Linked DNA regions of Oryzias latipes. The protein of the gene in region 3 binds, or shares a complex with, the protein of the main gene of each other region. Links are inferred from orthologs where the notes say so. Each region holds a gene or a part of one and is shown on either strand. Other genes may lie near its edges. The genes, in order: aryl hydrocarbon receptor nuclear translocator-like protein 1, CLOCK-interacting pacemaker and circadian locomoter output cycles protein kaput.

The links.
Region 1: the proteins of circadian locomoter output cycles protein kaput (region 3) and aryl hydrocarbon receptor nuclear translocator-like protein 1 are in contact, whole or in part, in a crystal structure (PDB 4F3L), measured with the Mus musculus proteins. The link is inferred for Oryzias latipes from reciprocal best matches to the Homo sapiens genes CLOCK and BMAL1. Residues at the interface, in NP_001276755.1 of Mus musculus: Arg46, Gln49, Phe50, Leu53, Ile54, Glu56, Leu57, Met60, Leu61, Pro62, Lys70, Ser71, Leu74, Gln75, Ser77, Ile78, Phe80, Leu81, Arg82, His84, Lys85, Thr88, Glu95, Ile96, Gln98, Asp99, Trp100, Pro102, Phe104, Leu105; in XP_030097882.1 of Mus musculus: Lys70, Met71, Phe74, Ile75, Glu77, Leu78, Ser80, Leu81, Val82, Asp93, Leu95, Leu98, Arg99, Ala101, Val102, His104, Met105, Lys106, Leu108, Arg109, Gly110, Ala118, Tyr120, Lys121, Pro122, Phe124, Leu125, Asp127, Asp128, Glu129.
Region 2: the proteins of circadian locomoter output cycles protein kaput (region 3) and CLOCK-interacting pacemaker are in contact, whole or in part, in a crystal structure (PDB 5VJI), measured with the Mus musculus proteins. The link is inferred for Oryzias latipes from reciprocal best matches to the Homo sapiens genes CLOCK and CIPC. Residues at the interface, in NP_001276755.1 of Mus musculus: Gln519, Leu526, Lys527, Leu530, Arg533, Ile537, Asn540, Ile541, Arg543, Gln544, Glu547, Leu548, Ile551, Gln554, Leu555, Val558; in XP_006515773.1 of Mus musculus: Asn401, Thr402, Val405, Leu406, Ser409, Leu411, Ile414, Thr415, Thr418, Leu421, Ile422, Asn425, Thr428, Gln429, Leu432, Leu435, Lys436, Thr439, Gln440, Phe442, Ile443, Thr446.

The regions. Positions count from the first base shown.
Region 1 is NC_019864.2:422,272-427,498, forward strand, and holds the start of aryl hydrocarbon receptor nuclear translocator-like protein 1, read right to left. Parts: upstream 3,635-5,227; 5' UTR 3,147-3,634; intron 1-3,146. UniProt on the Homo sapiens protein: Transcriptional activator which forms a core component of the circadian clock.
Region 2 is NC_019882.2:1,940,964-1,946,371, reverse strand, and holds the start of CLOCK-interacting pacemaker, read right to left. Parts: upstream 3,473-5,408; 5' UTR 3,319-3,472; intron 2,829-3,318; 5' UTR 2,827-2,828; coding exon 2,718-2,826; intron 2,639-2,717; coding exon 2,460-2,638; intron 1,701-2,459; coding exon 864-1,700; 3' UTR 1-863.
Region 3 is NC_019859.2:11,192,298-11,197,499, forward strand, and holds the start of circadian locomoter output cycles protein kaput, read right to left. Parts: upstream 3,397-5,202; 5' UTR 3,145-3,396; exon of another isoform or gene 3,105-3,144; intron 3,044-3,104; exon of another isoform or gene 2,916-3,043; intron 2,889-2,915; exon of another isoform or gene 2,413-2,888; intron 1,017-2,412; 5' UTR 947-1,016; intron 364-946; 5' UTR 210-363; intron 1-209. UniProt on the Homo sapiens protein: Transcriptional activator which forms a core component of the circadian clock.

The DNA.
Region 1 (5,227 bases), on a different chromosome or scaffold from region 3:
GCATCAAACCCAGTTCAAAATCAACTTTATTTGAAACTTTTCAGCTCATCAGATCCAAAATCCTGTGCCTCCACCTTTCTACTGAGTATAAGGAAGAGATTGTGTTTTTCATGGAGTCAATTCAGAAAAATGTGTTGTAAAGGTAGATTTGTTTACACCTCGTGGTCAAGTTTAACCAATCATTACAGTTATTCAGACGTCATTAAGTTAGATGGAAAGAAACTTTGATCCAAAATTTTGATTGTGTATTTTTGGTGTTAAACTTGTAAAAACGACAGATCACAGCAAAAAAGGAGAAGAAAAAGTTTCAAAATCTTATTTAAACAATGCAAAAGAATTGCTGGACATTTCTTTAATTAAGCATAAATTATATATATATAAAAAAAAAGCAGCTACCTACTGCATCTCCAAAGATCACATATGTCACTCAATTCCTGGAAATGATCTAAAAGTGATTCTATGTTTAATGCTGAGTCACTTTTTCCTGCTTTATGTGAACATGTGTGGTTTCCCACAGAAAGTCTTTATTTTATTCAGTCATTTTCTAGACTAGCAGGACAAACTAATTACTTTTCATTAAGTCAGTGTTATGATGACCAGCGTGATATTGGTGGACATTTGCTCTGTCCGAAGCCAACTGTTACGTCATTAACGCCTTATTATTACCCTACATTTTCTTTATGAAACCCTCCAAAGTTTGCCTTTTCAAATCCAATCTGCTAGAATTTCAGCTGACTCACTTTAGTGCCTCTCCAGCTTAACACCATAGCCTTTTAAATAAAAATGCATAGGTGCATTGTTCTAAAATGTATGGCACATCTTGAACAAAAACAAGACTAATGCATTTTTTTTAAATACCTTAGTCATCTTTCACAAAAGTCTTTGTCACAGAGTCAGAACATGCAAAGTCAGGGGTAAATGGTAAATGGCGTATACTTATATAGTGCCTTTCTTCCTACAATGACAAAGTGCTTTACAGTCACAGACCCATTCACCCAGTCACACACACATTCACACACTGGCGCCCGCCTCCCACCAGAGGCAAGGTGTGGTTTAGTGTCTTGCCCAAGGACACTTCGACACATGGGCGTGCAAGGCGGGAATCGAACCTGCAACCTTACGATCATGGGACGACCGCCCTATCACTGCAACACGGCCGCCCCTCTACAAGCTTCAACACTTAAGAGCCATTCAGGTCCATTTGTTGCTGACCACAACCCAATAAACGCCACAAAGTCTGACTTCACCCTTTAAGAAAATAAAACATTTATATTTAGGTTCTTGTTGTTATTATGATATATATAGATCGACTGTTGCATAAATAAAACTTAAAGCTAGGATTTCATATTTTCTAAATATGAAGTGGTGTATCACTTTTGACAGAGTTTAAAATGACTTCCTTTCAAAATAAAAAACACCCCGTGTCATTAAATCATCTCAATGCAGCAGATTTAGTGTAATTGTAGTATAATGTCAAGAGGATTTTAAAAAACACTGTTGATTTTAATGTTTGTGGTACAGCCAGAAATGTGAAAAACTAACTAATCAAAATTAAATCAGAGCCAATTAAGAAATCCTTAATGTATTTTTAACTATCCGGTGCACTTAAAATCCTTGAAGTTGTTAAAAGAAAGAAAAAGAAAATCTGACTTAGGAACCACTACACCTCAACTCCGGTTGTGATCACCCATCTTTACTTGAGTTTCTGTGGAGCATAAACCTGTCAAAATGTTTCAGTCTGTTCTGTATTTCCACATCTGTGAATGAGTTGAATAAAGTTTGAGTTAGTCTACTTTTTAGCCCTACTGTACTACTTTATTGTTTCTTTATCCAGACTGACTTTAGCCCTTTATCCATGGCTAAAAGAGCCTCGTGTGGCAGCGGAGGTTATTTGGACGTTTTTGATCCAAATCCCACAGTTTACATTGTTTACATTAAAAATGTTGAGTGAAATTAAAAGACTTGAGGAATAATACCCTTCAAATGAATATTCCTGCAGACCAACAAAACCACATGATTCTCCAGAAGAATGTCTGATGACAGAAACACTTCAGAACTTCTCCTTGGTTTAATTTTCATGTGCAGTTTGGTGTAAACAGCGGCTCAGACAAGAGAGAGAGCAGCTTTTGCTGAGTCATCACAAGCTGCTGCTGCTGCTTTCTAGATGCTATCGTGAAGATCAGCACCAAAGCAGCTGCAGCGTCACGTCTGAGGTCCAGTCAGAACCACGACGAGCCCGGTACCGAACGGTAGACCCGCCGAGACTGATGCCGGCTGAGCAGCAGGAAAGGGAGGCACGAGCCTGACTCGAGACGGACAGTCAAAAGACGTCAACTGAAAAAAACAAACATTTCAATATATGGATCCCGTCTACTCAGCTCTGATTGAACCGTAAGAATACAAGCTTGATGGTTGCAGCACGATGATGAGGAAGGAATCGAACCACAGACCGCCGAGTCCCCAGTGAGTTGGGGTGGGAGACCAGCGGGGTCCCTCCGCAGTCAAACCCTGTGGCGGGGCTCAGACCGGGGAACCCCGGCTGCTCCGGAGCCACAGCGACATCCATCACTCTCTGCCAATGAATTCCAGCACGAACACTTCAGAAGACGCACGCGCGTGGCGTGGGGTTGCGACAACAAGCGGGTCCGCTCGGTTCCGTTCGGTTCTCTGCGGACAGATGTGGTTCTAGGAAATTGCAGCAGCAGGTTGGATGCTGTCGAAGAAACCGTGCGCCGAGCCCCAGTCCCGGCCTTTTTTTTTTTTTTACATCGTTAGCCTGCTAGCGCGGTGGCCGCGGTTGACCGTCCGCCGCTCGGTCACGCCTGGGCAGCGTTATCCAGCTCACGGGCCGGTGCTTCCCCGTCCCGGAGCCTCTTCGTAGCCCGACAATAGCTGGCAAAGAACGAGCCCGCACCAAAAGCCCGGCGGCTTCTGCTCCCGTAATCCAGAACACAAAGTCATCTTAGCGAGCTAATATTAGCACACAGCTGCTAACTACGGAACGCTAACTCCGAGACTTGGCCGCCGAGCTCCCGCTGACATGACTGCACAGCGCCGGGAAAACATCGAAGATCTCCACCGTGATTTAAACCCAGCCGAGTCACACAAAAAGACAAAGCGTTCGCTCGCCCTCAATTAGTACTTACAGACCGCCCGGAGTGACCCGTGGATCCATGGACAGCCGCCGGTGAGAAAGCAGTAGAGACACACAGAAGAACTGTGACATAAACGATTTTCAATCGGTGACCCACTTTCTTTTCACCGTCATGCCTGTCGGACCACTAACCTAGTTTTTCAGCCAATAGCGTTTGCTCATTGGCACTGGGTATTCCTCCGACCAATCAAACGCAAGCTTAGTCTGGAGAACCATGATTGACGTGCTGATTGACCAATGAGAGGAGAATTAGCCTAGGAATGCAGGGGCCAGTTATGTGTGCGTCTGTGTGTGTGAAAAGGAAAAGACTGAACCAAGCCGAGAGCAAGTACGCTCGTAACACTTACTGGTCCCGAGCCAAAAAAAATAAAATAAAACAAAGAAAGATAAAAAAATCACACATGAAATGTCAACTAATTTAACAGAATTACGGATACATCAGGTGGACAGAAGATAAAAACTGAACATAATTCAAGGAGTAAAGTAACAAAACATTTTAAGTCAGTATCTGTTTTTATTGATTGTGTTCATCTAAAAAAATGATTTCCATTAAAGTCATCATTACTTGAGTTCAAGCATTTTTTTAAATTAGAAATAGTTGCCGGAAAAATATTTGAGGAGCCTTCAAAGAAAAAAACCTAGTTTAGATTTACAGATTTAGACAAGTTGACTTTATACTTTCACTCCCTCTTCTGGCCATAAATAGTAATGATGCCATTTCTAGATTAACAATAAAAAAAGACTTGTATTACTAAACTTATGCTTGTCATACGGTAATTGATCCCTTCAAAGAAGGAAAAGTGAATTAATGTTTATTGTTTAAATGGTCAGTTTGAAAATAAATACTAACCCAATGAATATGCATTTTAAATATAAGATGTTTCTGACTTTGATGCAATAAAACATGTTAGTATTGTTTAAAACTACCTATTTGCTTTTTTGCTTCAAAAAGCTGTAAAAGTAGCAGCTGGAAGTTTAAAACAACACATTGTTGGCTCAAAAGAACAAAAGTTCTTTTATAGGTTTCTAAATGTTTTTTTGGTGTTGGCCATCCTATCTTTCTGATTTGATTTTACAGAAGAGCCCCTGCAGACCTTGAGGTCCTCTGATACTAGCCTCTCAGTTCTTCCAAAAGCCAGAACTAAAACCCACGGCGAGGCCTCGTTCCGTTTTTATGGATCTTTTCTGTGGAACATCCTCCCAGAGAACCTCAGGGTCACGGACACTGTTCATGTTTTTAAAGGAAGGCTCAACACCTCCCTTTTTTAATTTGGCTGAAATGTAGGATCTTTTTAGATATTGAATTTTTTTAATGTCACTTCTGTTTTTACTTCTTTGAATTTATCTTTTTAATGCATTGTCAACGATTGACTGTTTATTCATTTGATTGACAACCTTTTTCACTTTTATGTATTTGATTCCTTTTACATTTAGTTTTAGCTCCAGTGTTTTCCTCAGACGGATCCTCCACATCGGGGATTGGATCTTCTCGGTGAACAGGGTCGCTGCAGTGGGATCTCCTGGGTCTGGCTCCTTGCTTTGATCGGGGAATCCTAGCCTCCTTGAATAGGAGTTTGTGGGGCAAATGGTAAATGGTAAATGGCGTATACTTATATAGCGCTTTCTACCTTCTTACGAAGGCCCAAAGCGCTTTAATGTCACAGTCCCATTCACCCATGCACACACACATTCACACACTGATGGCGGCTCCGCTGCCAAACACTGGCGCCAACCTCCCACCAGAGGCAAGGTGGGGTTCAGTGTCTTGCCCAAGGACGCTTCGGCACATGGGCGTGCAAGGCGGGAATCGAACCTGCAATCTTACGATCATGAGTCGACCGCCCTACCACTGCACCACGGCCGCCCACAGGCGAGGGACTCAACCTCAAGGGACTGTGCTGTCCTCTCTCCTGTTCACTCTGTACACATAGGACTTCACCTACAACTCCCACCTCTGACACCTGCAGAAGTTTTCAGATAACGGTGCTATTGGGGGCTGTGTTTCAGGGGGGGGGCCATCTCTGACTTTGTTAGCTGGTGTGAAGTTAACCACCTGCTGCTTAACACCAGCAA
Region 2 (5,408 bases), on a different chromosome or scaffold from region 3:
GTCTACATTAAAAGAGCAGTAAAAAAAATAAAACCCTTTTTTTATGATATGAACTATTGCTAAGCCAAAGGAAGCATCAGCTGCTGCTGAATCCATGTTCGTCCGTCTGTGGACACATCCTTCAGAAATTGGCTTTTTGGAATGATTTCATATAAAAAATCTGACTGGAAACTAGAATACACATAAAATCAGACAATGTTTTAATAACAAAACCCTTTTCTGCTTCTTCACAACTTGCATTCAGCATGAAAAAGGTCTCAGGACTTGTACTTATTGAGCAGGAACAGGAATGGAAGACCTGTGATGCGGTTCAGGTCCTTGAGAACCGCTTCAGCCGCATGACCAAAGGATTTACAATTTTTAAATTATTGCGGTGCTTTGCTGCACAGGAGGACAGAAACAGCAGCGCAGCAGGAAGATCCTGTAACGGGTCTGGTCTCCTGGCATAGATGGGGGGGCAGAACAGGCATTTATGGTGGAAAGAAAACAACCTCCTGTGTTTGGTCAGAGATCTCCACTCCTGCAGGATTCCTCTTCTTTCCAGAGGTTCCAGTCAATCCCAACGTTTCCTGTAAATGTACATCCAGCTGCTTTCTGGAGCCTCTCGAGTTTGTTGTAGGCAAAAATCGTCAAAATGTCTCAGACGGTCTGCAGTTCGATGCCTCTGTGAGAAGCCTTGGGTGTCAGGGCCACCAGCAGCTGAATGTAGGTCACTCCTCACTGCCAGCGGGGGCGGGAGCGTGCTGCGGGGCTAATTACTTCCAGCCCATCTGTCTGTGCACACACCCCGGTCCTGCCCCGGTGGTCCTTTCCCTCTAAGTGTGAGGGATTCCTGCCACACCGTCACAGCTCTGATCAGCTCTTTAGCCCATATGAACGGCCTTCTCCCGCTCCTCCTCCTGGAGGCTGGCCTGCAGCTGAAGACGCAAGCTGGCGTCGCCGCTCTGCAAAGCGCGGAGGAAGAGGTCCGTCTGCTCCCTAAGGCGGTCCAGGTCGCTTTGGGTGTGCCGGTTCTGCCGGAGGAGCTCCTTGGTGCGCAGAGTGATGTCCAGCAGGCCGGACTTGCTCAGGATGTTGTAGGTGTTGCAGAAGCGCTTCCTCTTTGCGTCTGAATCACAGTCACTTAGGCTGCATTGATCGGAGTCGTTGTTTTCCCCGGAGCTCGGACGTAGACGGGAAAGGGCGGGGTCTTTGGAGCCAGTGGTGGGGGTCAGAACATCAGTCGATATGACAGCTGATGAAGGCTTCTCCCTTCTCGGACTGCTGCTGGTTTCTGTGGTTTGGAAGGACGGCCTGCTCTGGTGCAGAGGAGACGTGGTACCGGGCGTAGCAGGACGACCGGGCGTGGTCGAGTCAGAGATGCTGCCACACAGAGTCTTCTCTCTCTGACCGGCCTCCCACTGGTTGGAGTTCAAGGAGCTACTGCTCCTCCCTGACCCCGAGGAAGAGGAAGCAGCTCCTCTCCCGGAAGAACCACTGGAGTCACGTGGATATGGGGCGATCTTGGGGTAGGATTTCAGAATGGGGAGGTACTTCTTGGAGCGTTTGCGTCTTGAAGTGCACTCTTTGGAAGCGGAGGAGGTTTGGCCAGAGACCACAGGCTGGATGAACACGAACGGAGGCTGCTGCACCACCGGCTGCACCACCTTTACTGTGGGATTTACGCCCCAAGGCTTCATAGCTGGAGGATTATCCGCAGGCTGAGGAGACAAAAACGAGACCTTCAGAAACAGTCATTAGTCTAACTGCGGGTGTCTAAGGAAAGTCCTAACAGGAGTGACTGATCACAAAGTCTGTGCTCTGACCGGTGCAGGAAACATGTCATTTCACATTTCAGTGACGCTGATAACCGTCATCTGGGTAAAAACATCAGATGTAGTTTGGGTTTAAACGGTTGAAATGGTTGTGGATGCATTTCCAGTCCTAGTCTGTCCATCTTTTAATCTATTTTAAAGTGATCCTTTCATTTTAACTAAATAAATATTCATGAATTTTCCTTTTTTTCCTTAATATATGTCCTCCATCATCAGAAAAAAAATGTTGAAAACACAATTTTCATCAAAGTTGGTCTTTTTTTAAACTGCAGACAAGCATCGAGATGAAAGCTCAGTTTTTTTGCATCCCTGCTCATTTACAACCACAGTAAGTGTGAAATGAAAGAAAAAGGAAAAGATTTACAACCAACTGAAAGCATGTCAGAATGTAAAACACGTAAAATAAAACAAAGTTTTCATTCATTTGTTTCAGCTCTAAATTAAATTTATTCTTTAAAACCATTTGTTTCATTTCAAAATGCTTTAGTCATGCCACGTGGGACTAACTTCAGCTGTATTAGAGAAATAAAATCAAAACAATGGCCAGCTGATCAGTAAAAACAAAAGTGATCATGAGTGTCAAACCCCAAAAAGTGACTACTAAACCTATATTTCAAAAAAGTTTTTGGTGCTAAAGTCCGTTACCTGCTTGAGAAGGACGTTGTTCATGATGATCATTGGAGAAAGGCTGGAGTAGGACCCCCCCACCACAGCCAACCCAGAGGACACTGACCCGGCACTCCGGTGACCTTGTCTGACCGCTGGATGAGGGGAATCCTCGGAGTCGGTGGTGTCCATGGAGCTCGTCTGCTCTGAACTGGCATCTGTGAGACAGACAGACGGAAGTGAGAGTCAGCTGGAAGGACGCATCACACACGTCAATCGCCAAGAAGTAGTCGGTACCGGAGAACCCGGAGTCTCTCTCGGAATCCGGCCGAGAGGTTCTGGACTTCATGATGTGGACTCGGTCTCCTGTCCTCGGGTGACCGGCGGCCTTCCTCTTGGTGCTCATCTCTGTAAAAATCAGAAAAACAAGAGGTGACCTACTTAGACAAACAAGTTTAGCATTAGCTCGTGCGTTTTTAGGTGATTAGCATAAAATGTTTAATTTGGAAATCGCGAATATTAATTTTGGGTAATAGAACTACAAACTCTGATCTATATTTTCCTTTAATCCGTTTACTTTATAAACAGACAGCTAAAACACAAACAGATCAAGGAGAACATTAGCAACATTAGCTTAACGGGTACCGAGCACAAAGTTTACGACGCAAAATGTAGGTTTTACGGGGCTCAGATACTTAAATACAAAGAGATAAAAGAATCTAAAATCGAAACATTTTCTTTTACTGTTTTATCAGTAATTAGAATAACAACGTTTATACATAAGGGTGAATTATGCTAAGTAGAAACAAGCTAGCAATAAGAATAAGCTAACGAGCGATAAAGTAGGACAAAATTATCTGAGGGAATAAAGTAAACGACAAAAGAAAAAAGAGCTTACTTCTTTTTTTTAGGTTTTGTTCCTACGTTTCGTTTCAAAAGCGGAGAATCCGGAGCCTGCCTTCGGTTTTCCGTCGATGTCTCCTCTCCCTCGGCTAATGCACCGCCCAGTACCGTAGACAGAAGCGCAGTGTCCCACGGTGGCGGACACGAGACAGCCCGCCCCTCCCCTGCTCGCGGGGTCATTCACGTGCAGAGCACCGTGGCGAAAACCGTCCCCATTATTTTTATTGTTTGCCCTAAAACTCAACTAAAACAAAACATACACTACATAAATATGTATCTTTATCGATAAAAATTAAAAATTAAAAAACTAACCTAAAAATATTATATCTGTTAAAGTCGGTCTGCCAAATATGGTGTGTGTGGGCGTGACTTCATCGCGAATGCGAGCTACGTCACATTTTTAAGGCGGTACCGTCCGCCCATTTGTTGTTGTCCAGACTTCTGATTGGTCAGCAGCGCAAGCAGCAGGAAAACGTGACCACTGCCATGTGTGGCGAGGACATCAAACATCGAATAAAAAAATAATAAAATACACAAAACAAATCAGGAAAACGGGAAACCTTTGATTTATTTAATAAAGTCATCGATTTAAGATTGCAGTACAACACAAAAATACATTAGAATGTCTTACTTTGTGGGTTCTAATGTCATTCTATTGGTTATTTTTGTGTTCAACATTTAAAAAAAAAATCAGAATTATCAGATGTAATCTCAGTAAAAATGGGTTAAAACACAAAAGTCTCTCATGAAGTTTGTAACTTTAAGTGGGTGGACTTTAAGAGCAAAGACTTTCTAGAGAATTCCTTATCTCCTTGTCTCCTCTGAAGTCCTTTTTAGACTAAACGTTTGGGCCGTCAGACCTTGGGTAAACTGTCAGAGGCCTCATATTTCTGAGCTGCAGAAGCGCCCCCATCATACATGTCCTAAACTGCAGGTCTGCAGATGTAAAGGATGAAACAAATCTTTGATTATTCTCTTCTGTCCTTGGCAGATTGAAGGCGGCTCTTCTGCTTCTCACTGACCTGCTGAAAGAAAAGAAGTGACAGAAATGGGTTAGAAAATACTCCAGATGTGACCTAACTTTGTGTGAGAATTTGATCTTATTTTAAGTAGTTATTTATCACTACTTACTAATTTTTGTTTAACTTTTGAGCAAGAAAATCCTGCAGAGGGATGTTTTGTTGAGTTTGTCAGCAGCAGAATCGGAAATGTTTTGAATCTTTATTTATTTATGGAGGATTTTACCTTGCAGAAGACATTGAGATGAATTAAATTTAAAAAATACGAGAAGTTTCTGTTCAAAATGCTTGTATTTTGGCATCAAAACCTGAACAGAAAGGAACTTTTTGGCTTTCATCTGTCAGTCACATAGCTCCCCCTGGTGGCTGAGAAACAAACTGACTCCCACATCCTTGCAGGTGAAAACTGACCTGGAAAGAGGAGATAAAGACTGAAATCGAGGGCCAGGGATTCAAATGTGAGCATCTCTGTTACACATATGGTTGTTTTCTTCTGTCTTTGATATTTTCTGTAATAATCCCATTAATGTGGGAGAACAGGAAAAACACACAGTGTGTGTCCAACTGAATTTTCTTTGATAGATATTTCAGATGCAAGTGCGCCTCTCAGAGGATTTAGACATAATAACAGCAAAGAAATAATATAAAAAAGATGTAATAGTTGACATAAGAATCTGATCTGCTGTTTTGCAATGATCTCCCCTCATTTTGTGTGAATTTTCTTGGTATTTTCTCTCATTTGTTTATGCCAGTGGCTCAGGTCAATGTTATTATTCCCGTGGGTTGAATCCTGACGGCTCTGTCTGTGATTTAAAGGTGCATTTGCAGCGTTTCACCACTTCTGTTCGAGGAGAGGCCGTTGCAGCATGGCCGGCCCTCCCTATACGCGAAATACGCAGCCCCGTAGGGCCCCCGCCACCACCAGGGCCCCGAAGTGGCGAAAAAAATTAAAAAGAGCCAAATCTGGCCACCCATTTCATAGCGCGTCCGTACCAACGTGCGCTCTGAATGTTGTGCAAAAGAAAGTTGGCTGCACTTTAATGATCGCCCCCTTCCACACACCTGA
Region 3 (5,202 bases):
AAATTATATTTAGAAATGCCCATTTTGACAAAAATGAAAATACCTCATAAATGTCAAAGAAACACTTATTTTTTTCTTAGTACCTCATTTAAAAAGGCTAATTTAAAAAAATATATATTATGATTTCTTCACTAAAATCCAACAGAATGAAAGCTAATGTAACTGTATGGCACAACTCAGTTCAGTATGCATGTGTCATCATTTCTCACCCTGCGTCAGCCTTTTCACAAGCTCAACTTCTTTTCTGAGGGGTGGATGAAAGGGATCGAGGTCAAGGCCGACTCAATGGTGATCTTTAGTGTTGAGGTCATTGGCTCATGAATGGAAAACCGACCACAAGAAAGTTAGGGTGGTCAATCAAAACTGCAGAAGAAACGATAATAGAATAGAAGAAAATAGGTCAAAACAGACGCGTGGAACTAAAAACTGTCTAATGTATTTAGTCTCTACTGAAATGTGGCTTTCTAGAGAGGATCCTTTTTTTCACAACACCCAGTTTCATGACTCAGATTTAGCCCAAATGCTAGCTCACCATGTTGGGTAGGCTTTACAAACAAGATATCCTAAATCATTGAATTTAAGCTTTCAAATTACACATTTCTGTCAGGTTGATTATTCAAGTGATGCCTTTTTTATTTTCTGTCTTTACAAACCTTGCATTCATTTTCTTCAATCTGCCTGACTGGCACTTACTGTTTCTGATTCTTTAAGATTCTTTCAGCTGGCAAAGAGCTGGTCTGGTGCAAACTTACAGCACTGGTAGGCTGTTTTGACCATTACTGGCATGAACTAGTTGCATCTGTGTTTGTAGTTCAGTGCAATTTCAGCATTTGTTGAAACTGGAGACGTAGAGCTATTTTGCTCATTTGTCCAGCCAGACAAATCTAGGCCTAACACTATAGGGACCCCTCCACATCCTTGTACTTTTTTTTTTTTTTAAACCTACCCTCTGGAATGTCCAACGGAGGGGAAACTTGCTGATAGCCTTCCAGGAAAGAGAAATCCACGCATTTAACCTGCAACACAACACAAACGGTCTAATTTATTACCAACATGACCCGAGAATTCAATCAATGTTTAACACCCATCTTTAGACTAGCTTAAGTTAAGGAGAATAAAAATATATGAAATGTATGCAAGTGAATTCACTGGAAGCCACAGAAATTTTAGGAATATTTATGGTGTCAAGTCTCATTGGCACATTTCCAACAAGTTTGTGCTGCCAAAATAATAGACTACAACTCCACGACCTTTCGTTTTTACCTTTAGCTCTGCTAGTTTTAAGGTTACTGTTATTGCAAACATTTCAGTTCATCAAGCTCTATCACTGATAATGAGTCGATCTTTTTTAAGTGGTAAAAATCCTAATTGCATGAAAAAAAAATATCTGGCTTAAACTGACACAATAAGCTCTCCTTCTGAAATCTGTTTGCCATGCCAGTTTCATGTACAAGCCATACCGGTTATTAGGCCAATTGGAGACTAGAATCTGAACAGACACACTAATACTTTAAAAATGAACAGGAAACATTTGTGCGTGCAACAGAAAACGACTTAATCGCCGCAAAAGAGATTTTGACCCAAGTTCGCCTAATTTTAGAGAGCAGGGATCTTCAAAAACCATTCACAGTACGTGTGGGCAAATTTATTTGACCTACAAGTACCAACAAGTTGCTTGATGAATGACTAGAAAAGGTCATGATCCGAAGCAAACTGGTCAAAACAACCATCTATACATATCCAGATGGTGTTGCTGAGGTTTTGACCTAGCTAATAACGACCTATAAAGCTTCTCAGACATGACAGCCTTGCATTCTATTCACAATAAACGATAAAATGTCAAAACAAACATGAAAATGTGCATGTCTTTAAAAAAAAAAAAAACTACTTTCTATTTAGCAGTTTATACATAATCAAGCTTAAAATAGCTTTTTTTAAATCCAAAAACTCAGTCATATTTCATAAAAATGAAGAAAACTGTTAAACTTAGACACCACAAATAAGAAATGTTGGTATATAATAAATAAGTTGAAATAGAACGTATTTTTGAATAATGAATTCGTCCCACCAGCTACCAGAAAATAGATTTTCTTTGGATGATACAGTGACTCAATGAGATGACTCAAAAATACGAGTGGGCAGGAAGGTCAAAAGTGGCTACATTAAAAAGCGAGCAGAAAAGGTCATCAACAAGCCAGATTCTACTTTAATTTGCTTTTTTTTTTTTTTTTAAATGTATTTTGGGCTTTGATTCGAGATCCACAGCCACATTAGCAGTGAAGAGCCTCAGCTAAGCTTCTTCGTTTACGAATTAAACGGTGACATGTAGCTTGACGTGTTGTTGTTGTTGTCAGTTGTTGAGGCGGAAGGATATTTAAAAGAAAAACTAGAGGAGAGCCATATTCAACGTACCTTTTAATGCCACAGGTGTCGTTATACAATCGGAGGAGCAACCCATGTAGCTAGCTAGCAAGCTAACTAAGCTAGAGCCAAAAAGTGACCGTTTGACTGAGATGTTTAATTCTCCCAATGTCCTTGTCGTAGCCTGCTAACAGCCGAAAACACTAAAGGAGAGGTGAAGGCTTTACGACACGCGAAATAAAGTAAAAATTAAACAGAGCTCAGTTTTTTTCCCTTTAAGTTAAGCTGACGCCGCGCCTGGAGCTGTCACGCAACAACAACTGACATTGAAGACAAAATAATAATCTCCAAAAACACAGCTTTTGCTCCACTGAGTGAGTGAAAGACACAAACTTAGCTTCAATACCAACAGCGCTGCTAGTTATCAAGGAAACCGGCAAAAACCCAAATACGACCGCGTGACAAACGCTCCAAACCACCGAAGGTGGAAATATTTTCGCGGCAGATGTATTTACACACATACTCAGCCGCCATGCCCGCGCATAGACACTCACCGATGAGAAAACGTGCACGCGCTCGCCCACTGATACTGGCTGCTCAAATGTGGGTCACTGGGCCTTGCTCTCTCTCGAGCGTGCGGAAACAGTCCCGCAGTCCCAACGCTTCCGCACACAAAATATATCTATCTTCTTAACAGCCGCACAATGAGCCGCCAACATAATAAATGCATCAAAATCTTTTACCTTCACGAAAACTCGACTATAGCCTCCGTGCCTTTCTTACTTGAGCGTTGAATCGAAGTGGTGGGGCCAGGAGGACTTGGGGTTGGAGAGAAAAACAGGAGCGAGGAGGCCTACTTCATATTACGACGTACAGTCATGCGCAATAGAGACAGTAGGGCGCACTATTTTGCACGTTCCTAAGCAGCAGCTGATCTTCGAAGGGGATATGATTCCGCCTTTCGATTAATTTCACCCCATGCCATTAGAGATGTATGACCCTCATTAGAAATCAAGAGCTAGACTGACTCTGTGCATCTTGGCTTTTTCCTTTTTTTCCCTTTCTTTCTCTTTTCCCCCCCGTATAGAATTAGAGGCGGGGACTGTCCAGGATGTACATTTTCCCGGTAATCTGGAATCTGTACATTATGTCCCACTAAGTCAGGGCCCTTTCACCACTAATGGGCTCTCTACACTTTTATGCAGCATGTTGTGCTTGTGTTTTTATAGAATTAGTTTACAGCCACTGAAATACATAAACAGTTTTAAGGTATGTCATATTTCTAAGATAAAAACAAAAACAAAATACAAATAAAAAACACAATTACAAAAAATGAAAACATATATATGAGATTAGTTTAATAATAGAAAGTTTAGGTTGACGTATGAATAAGTCTTTACAACAAGATGGAAAGTTGAATGCATCAATTTTAAAATGATAAATATAGGAAAATAAATCATAATGATTACTTTTAAAGATGATTTTGCTATTAATTTAAAAAGGGAGAGGAAAGTTAAAAATTACAAGAGAAACGGTTATGAGATTAAAAACCCACTTTGATTTTGAACATGCTCTTGTGGCATTTTTCTGATGATGGTGGGCATAAAGTAACTTAAGCTAAAAATTGGATTTCTGAATTGTCTTTATTCAAATTGTTGGGAATCAGGAGCAGACGCAAAAATGCAGTAGGAACAAGCTTGTAGGTGGGACATAGAGCCTACAATGGCAAGCTGCATGCTCTAGATGACTAGACTCATGTATTTTTCACTTGTCCTAGCTGGCATTTGGCTCAAAACTGAACGACTGGATAGCTCCAATATTTGTCGCCATTTTTGTTGTGCCGGTAATGTTAGGATGGGGTTGTGAGCTAGCAAGAGTGTTGGATGACGGGAAATGGGGAAGGGCTTACTCCGAGGGCAAACACTCTCGTCGTTAACTCGGAGGCAAACTTTTAACAACTACTGCTGCTCTGAAGAAAATATGTCCTAGAACATAACGCATATTTTTTTGTTTGGGCTAAAAACGTCATAATTAAAATATCACAATGAAAACGATTAAAAAAAATGAAAAGATAATCTAAGAGTGTCCTGAAAAAAAACATTATTGAGATCAATAACAAACATGTTAAATAAAAAGTCAAAGTAACTGTTTCAGAAGCTGAAAGTATGAGACAAGACAGTCACAAGCATGAAATAAAAGGCTTTGCACATGCAATACAATGAGGTTGACTCCATGTTCAGAAAGCAGAATTACAGATTTATTTGAGATTTTTTTAATTTTACGAATCTGTTTAAAACATTTTGTGGAAATGTTTAATCCAGAATTGGACGTGTTCTAAAAGCATTACTAGACATCATTTTTACAGGACTGTATTCAGGTAATTATTACATTGATTGTAACTGAATCCCTCAGAGTTTAATTCTCAGTTCAAAACCGGTACATGTCTACCAAACATCCATGTTTTGATCATAAATTATAAAGATTTGCAAACTTACAATGCACCAAAAATGTTTTGCCAAGAGGCTACAGCATAGATCTTACCTTTTTACCAAAGAGTTGTTCATGGGTATCCCATCATTTAGACTTTTATCTCACAAGTTCAACTTTTTTTTAATTAATCAAAGCTTTTTGTGGAATAACTTGCACAACCTCATATGACACAATCATAGCAGACTGTTTATCTTATAGTTTCACAGTAATTCTTTCTCATACTTATTTATTTATTCCTTTCAAGAAGCATAATAAAATAATTCTGACTGTTTCATATCTTAATTTTATTAATTTTGATCTTTTGTCTCAAATATATCTATTTTAATTTAATCCACTTTTTATTCCTTTTAT